Cricetulus griseus: one gene and its partner. The protein of the gene in region 2 interacts with the protein of the main gene of each other region in a biochemical or structural test. Links are inferred from orthologs where the notes say so. Each region holds a gene or a part of one and is shown on either strand. Other genes may lie near its edges.

Region 1 (3,751 bases), on a different chromosome or scaffold from region 2:
TGTGGAAACTGGAAACACTCCTATCTGCCATACACAGCAAATGAGGTTCTCAGAGGCTCGTTTGCTATTACTTTCAAGTTTGATATTCCAACTCCATGGAATACATGAAAATTATAGAATCAATTAGTCGGGTACTTATTATCAGTGACCCACAACACCGACTTGCATACAGACCCTGAGAATTTGATTCTATGCCAAGTCTTACACTTCTGAGTGATTAGCATCCCTACTGTCAGCCTGGTGGAGTGCGACAAGCCTGAATTAGATGGAGGAATAACAAGTTCTAGACCACCCTGGATTACATGAGACCCCGTCTCAAAACAAAACACCTAGGTTCCATGAAGCAGTTAACCCACTCAAATGGAAAGGCGGATACCTTCCCCTGTGCAACCCACCACTCAGAAATATGCCTTACTGGACCAAGAGCACACCAAGCTTGTCTTTGCAACCCTGTAGTGCATCCAGGAACAATTCCAACCCAGAACCACTGCACTGGCAAGCCTGAAACAGCAAGGCTGAGAAGCAGCAGGATCCGTGAGGTCGGATGGGAGACTCACATGTCCGGAAGAAACTTTTCACCCTGGAACAACGTCATATCTTTGGGTGGTTTGGGATTATAAGAGGTTTTGAAAAGATGTACGGAAAGGGTAATGAATAAACGGGCCGGTTAGCGCGGTTTCTTTCATGTTTATGGTGGCCTTTACCAGTGGGTTACGGTAGGGCAGGGCTCTGAAAAAGATAAAATGTAGACGGGGTGGGGACCATACGAAGAATATGACGTTTAGGGTTTGGAGAGATTTATGTTAAAATAAAGACACGCATGAAACCCTCAAAGAACACACACACACAAATCTCAAAATGAAAATCCCACACACGAAGGTCCTCTCGGTGCACCCGCTCGTGCCCAGCCCACTCGCCCGCACCAATCCCAGAAGAGACCTGTTCTCAGAGGCTCATTTGCTATTACCTTCAAGTCTGATAATTCCAATTCCGTGGACTACATGCAAATCATAGAATCAATCAGTCGAGTACCACTCATGACCCGTGACCCCTAACACATCGACTTGCGTACAGACCCTGAGAATTCGACCCTACGCCGAGCCTGACGCTTCCGAGTTATTAGCATCCCCAGTGTCAGGCCGGTGGAGAAGGGGGCGGGACTTTTCCTACGGAAGCTATCGGAAGTGACGTGTAGGTCTCGCGAGCAGAAGGGCGCGCGAGCTCGGCGGCCCGGAACCGGCCTTGGACCGGCGGCGAAGCCTGAGGCGGCTGGCGCTCCCGCCCCATGGAGCGGCCCCCGGGGCTGCGGCCGGCCGCGGGCGGCCCCTGGGAGATGCGGGAGCGGCTGGGCACCGGCGGCTTCGGGAACGTCTGTCTGTACCAGCACCGGGTGAGGCGGGGTGGGGGGCGGCGGCGGCGGCGCCGGGTCGGTCCGGGCGGCCCTGGGACAGCGGCTGTCAGTCAGCGGGAGGGGGCGTGGAGACCTTGGGGTGCTGGGGCCGGTGAACGAGCGCGGCCGCACTTAGGGCCCTGGTGAGCCTGGTGGCCGGCCGGGTGCCGGGTGAGAGAGAGGAAGCTGCTGCAGCTGTGTGTGGTGACGAGGAGTGTGTGTGTGTGTGTGTGTGTGTGTGTGTGTGTGTGTGTGTGTGTGACAATGTGTGTGTGTGTGACTGTGTCTCTGTGTGTATGTGTCTGTGTGTGTGTGACTGAGTGTGAGTCTGTGTGTGTGTGACTGAGTGTGAGTCTGTGTGTGTGTGACAATGTGTGTGTGTGTGACTGTGTGTGTGTGTGTATGTGTCTGTGTGTGAGTGTGTGTGTGTGTGACTGTGTCCGTGTGTGTGTGTGTGTGAGTGTGTGTGTATGACACTGTGTGACTGTGTGTGTGTGTGTGTGACACTGTGTGACTGTGTGTGTGTCTGTGTGTGTGTGTCCCTGTGTGTGACTGTGTGTGTGTCTCTGTGTCTGTGTGTGTGTCTGTGTGACACTGTGTGACTGTGTGTGTCTGTGTGTGTGTGTGTGTGTGTGACTGTGTATGTGTGTGTATGTGTGTGTGTCTCTGTGTCTGTGTGTGTGTGTGTGTGTGTGTGTGTGAGTGTGTCTGTGTGACACTGTGTGACTGTGTGTGTGTGTCTGTGTGTGTGAGTGACTGTGTGAGTGTGTGTGTGAGAGTGTGTGTGCGTGCGCGTGTCTGTGTGTGTGTGTGTGACTGTGTCTCTGTGTGTGTATGTGTGTATGTGTGTGTGTCTCTGTGTCTGTGTGTGTGTGTGTCTGTGTGTGACACTGTGTGACTGTGTGTGTGTCTGTGTGTGTATCCATGTGTTTCTGTGTGTGTGTGTGAGTGTGTGTGTGTGTGTGTGTGTGTGTGTGTGTGTGTGTGTGTGGTGACGAGGAGTATGTACAAATATCAAGGATCTCTGTGTGTGTCCCTGCCCGCACACTTGAGTAAACAAGGAAAGTCCTTCCTGGTGTCCAGAGTTGAACCTGTGGAAACATTGACAGACTCTGGAATTGGCACATTCCAGTCCAGGCAAGAAACAGTGTGAGGGTGAGGTGGTAAAATGATCCTTGCTTCAAAGAGAAGGAAATAGACTGAGGGGTTTGTTCTGCAAAAGACGGGTTTGTTATGTAAAAGACAACTAACATCAGGTTCGGGAAATTTGCTTGGATTTAATTGAAAATGTTTAACCATTGCAACAGCAGTTATTTGTACTTTTAAAGGATTTTAAAGCTAACCCTCACCTTCCTTATTTTAATGTTGTTGATGGTAGGAGTGGAACACAGGCTTTGCACATGCTAGGCAAATGGTCTAACCCTGGGTTACACATCCTTAGCCCCAGTTAATCAGGTTTGAGTCATGGGTCTTTTGATAATTCAATAAAAACTATGAATCTTCTCTTCAAAAAATTAATATTCATACAAACCAGTGTATTACCACTGAGGGTTTTGCTCTCCTGAAGAGTGTTAGCTGATTTCTGTATTGGGCACTAAAGGCGCCCCAATCAACAAGAACAGTATTTTCCACCCTGAAGGAAACTTAATTTCAGAGAGAGATTGACATAGACACAAAGTACATCTGGGCATAGTGGCATATACTTGTAATCCTAGCACCCAGGGTCCAGAGACAAGAGAATTTTGAGTTTGAGGCCAGCCCCTGAGTGGGCTTCATACTGTGGTCAAGGCCAGCCTGTCTCAGAAATAAACATGGGTTCAGTGTAATCCTAGACACTGAAAGTACTGGCAGTGTGAGTAGCCAAAGAACTTTCCCTAGGGAATAGGGTACAAGTTCTCAAAGGGTGTTTGAAAAACCTAGTTCCATATAATACATTAAAGAAAGAATTTGGAAGAAGCCAGGCATGGTGGGAACACTTGGGAGACTGAGGTCCATGGGCCACAGAGTGTTCCCTTTTTAAAGAAGTGTGTATGGGAAGGAGATGTAATTCAGTGATAAAGTACATACCCAAGGCCCTGGGTTCTATCCTCAGTACTATAGATCTACCTGCCACACACTGAAAATAATCTGGTCGGGTAGGACTTGGGATCTCAGGAAATGCGTCCACAAAACATATGCAGACAGAGAGGATGGATGTCAGTCGTGTGCAAATACTGCAATGGACTTGGGCAGCATCCTCTAGATTTCAGCGTCCTCTGGAGGCCCTAGAAGCTGTCATCTGCAGACTGAGGGCAACTTCACTGAGTTCAAATACTTTGGGTAAATGCCTGGAGAATCGAAATTCAAATTGGGAATCCAATT
Region 2 (3,174 bases):
GAAGACTTGATGGTCGAGTATGCCACTGGCAGGCTCACTGTCTCCTGCCCCATGGGTAGCTTGTCTTCAGCCATGCAGAGCTTGTCCTGGGCAAAACAAAGGCTGCCTAGCCCTTCCTTCTTTCTTACCTTTAAATTCTTATTTTCCTCTAGCTTTCTCCAGGCTTCTCTGTCTTCTTTCTATTTCACAAAGTGTAGGATTTTGTGTTTTCTTTCTAGATTTATGTGTGGATGTGGGTGGTATGTGTGTAGGGAAACTATTTTTGTGTGTACATACAGAGGCCAGAGGAGAGTTGTTCTGTAACTCTTTACTTCATAACCTTAGAAAACATCTGTCACTGAACCTTAGCTAGACTGGTGACCCACAAGCCCCAGCAGTCCTCTTACCTCTTTCCTGCCTGGTGCTGCGATACAAGCACTGGATTTTTGTGTGAATGCTGAGGATCCAAATTCGGGTCCTCATGTTTGACCATCCAATCCTCTTACCCGCTGAACTATCTCCCAAGCCCCCATCCTTCTTCAGATTTAATGCTTCCTTTTTAGTTTCTAAGTTCAAGTATCTCTCAGCCACTTGGGCTATCTGTTTTGGGGAAGGATCATTTGATTCATTTCTCCCAGGGATAGTGTCTCATATCCTCTGGTAGTACTTGGAATAAATGGCCATGGTATTCTTAGTTCTTGCTGTTAAGTCTCAAGGGGAGGTCTTGATGCTTTTCCCAAAGCACATGAAGTAAAGAAGGAAGGGTATCATTAATAACTGCTCAAGCCTCAGGCCTAACTATTTCCCCTGCCCAAGGGTGTCTGCTCATTCTAGGCCTATGCTGATGTTGGTCTGTCCCTTTTGCTTCTCTACAGGACTATGACCTTTGTATCAATTGCTACAACACAAAGAGCCACACCCATAAAATGGTGAAGTGGGGACTGGGCCTAGACGATGAGGGCAGCAGTCAAGGTGAGCCACAGTCCAAGAGCCCCCAGGAGTCCCGGCGTCTCAGCATCCAACGCTGCATCCAGTCCCTGGTCCATGCCTGCCAGTGTCGCAATGCCAACTGCTCTCTGCCATCTTGCCAGAAGATGAAACGAGTAGTGCAGCACACCAAGGGTTGTAAACGCAAGACTAATGGAGGATGCCCCGTATGCAAGCAGCTCATTGCTCTTTGCTGCTACCACGCCAAACACTGCCAAGAAAATAAATGCCCTGTGCCCTTCTGCCTCAACATCAAACACAAGCTCCGCCAGCAGCAGATCCAGCATCGCCTGCAGCAGGCCCAGCTCATGCGCCGTCGAATGGCCACCATGAACACCCGCAATGTGCCTCAGCAGAGTTTGCCTTCTCCTACCTCAGCACCACCTGGGACCCCCACACAGCAGCCCAGCACACCCCAAACACCACAGCCCCCTGCCCAGCCTCAGCCTTCACCTGTAAACATGTCACCAGCTGGCTTCCCTAATGTAGCCCGGACTCAGCCCCCAACGATAGTGTCTGCTGGGAAGCCTACCAACCAGGTGCCAGCTCCCCCACCTCCTGCCCAGCCCCCACCTGCGGCAGTAGAAGCAGCAAGGCAAATTGAACGTGAGGCCCAGCAGCAGCAGCATCTGTACCGAGCAAACATCAACAATGGCATGCCCCCAGGGCGTGCAGGTATGGGAACCCCAGGGAGCCAGATGGCCCCTGTGGGCCTGAATGTGCCCCGTCCCAACCAAGTCAGTGGGCCTGTCATGTCTAGCATGCCACCTGGGCAATGGCAGCAGGCACCCATCCCCCAGCAGCAGCCAATGCCAGGCATGCCCAGGCCTGTGATGTCTATGCAGGCCCAGGCAGCAGTGGCTGGGCCACGGATGCCCAATGTGCAGCCACCAAGGAGCATCTCGCCAAGTGCCCTGCAAGACCTGCTTCGGACCCTGAAGTCGCCCAGCTCCCCTCAGCAGCAGCAGCAGGTGCTGAACATCCTCAAATCAAACCCACAGCTAATGGCAGCTTTCATTAAACAGCGCACAGCCAAGTATGTGGCCAATCAGCCTGGCATGCAGCCCCAGCCTGGACTTCAGTCCCAGCCTGGTATGCAGCCCCAGCCCGGCATGCACCAGCAGCCCAGCCTGCAGAACCTGAATGCAATGCAAGCTGGTGTGCCACGGCCTGGTGTGCCTCCACAGCAACAGGCGATGGGAGGCCTGAATCCCCAGGGACAGGCTCTGAACATCATGAACCCTGGACACAACCCCAACATGGCAAACATGAATCCACAGTACCGAGAAATGGTTAGGAGACAGCTGCTACAGCACCAACAGCAGCAGCAGCAACAGCAGCAACAGCAGCAACAAAGCAGTGCCAGCATGGCCGGGGGCATGGCAGGACATGGCCAGTTCCAGCAGCCACAAGGACCTGGAGGCTACGCCCCAGCCATGCAGCAGCAACGTATGCAACAGCACCTCCCCATCCAGGGTAGCTCCATGGGCCAGATGGCTGCTCCAATGGGACAACTTGGCCAAATGGGGCAGCCTGGGCTGGGGGCAGACAGCACCCCCAGCATTCAGCAGGCCCTACAGCAGCGGATTCTGCAGCAGCAGCAGATGAAGCAGCAGATTGGGTCCCCAGGCCAGCCGAACCCCATGAGCCCCCAGCAGCACATGCTCTCAGGACAGCCACAGGCCTCGCATCTCCCCGGCCAGCAGATCGCCACATCCCTTAGTAACCAGGTGCGGTCTCCAGCCCCTGTCCAGTCTCCACGGCCCCAATCCCAGCCTCCACATTCCAGCCCATCACCACGGATACAGCCCCAGCCTTCACCACACCATGTTTCACCCCAGACTGGCTCCCCCCACCCCGGACTCGCAGTCACCATGGCCAGCTCCATGGATCAGGGACACCTGGGGAACCCCGAACAGAGTGCAATGCTCCCCCAGCTGAATACCCCCAACAGGAGCGCGCTGTCCAGTGAACTGTCCCTGGTTGGTGATACCACGGGAGACACACTAGAAAAATTTGTGGAGGGTTTGTAGCATTATGAGAGCATTGGGTGTTTGGTTTTTTGTTTTGGGATTTTATTTTATTTTATTATTTTTTGGGGGTTTTTTGTTTTCTTTTTTCTTTTTTTCTTTTCTTTTTTTTTTCTTTTTTTTTTTTTTTTTGTTTTGTTTTGTTTTGTTTTTCCCCCCTCCCCTTTCATGTTCTTGG

Evidence for each region.
Region 1: the proteins of histone lysine acetyltransferase CREBBP (region 2) and Chuk form a complex in vitro, tested with the Homo sapiens proteins (2 studies listed by BioGRID, with this or other methods). The link is inferred for Cricetulus griseus from reciprocal best matches to the Homo sapiens genes CREBBP and CHUK.

The regions. Positions count from the first base shown.
Region 1 is NC_048596.1:17,443,956-17,447,706, forward strand, and holds the start of Chuk (inhibitor of nuclear factor kappa-B kinase subunit alpha), read left to right. Parts: upstream 1-1,285; coding exon 1,286-1,390; intron 1,391-3,751.
Region 2 is NC_048600.1:42,574,348-42,577,521, forward strand, and holds part of histone lysine acetyltransferase CREBBP, read left to right. Parts: intron 1-854; coding exon 855-2,999; 3' UTR 3,000-3,174. UniProt on the Homo sapiens protein: Acetylates histones, giving a specific tag for transcriptional activation. Mediates acetylation of histone H3 at 'Lys-18' and 'Lys-27' (H3K18ac and H3K27ac, respectively).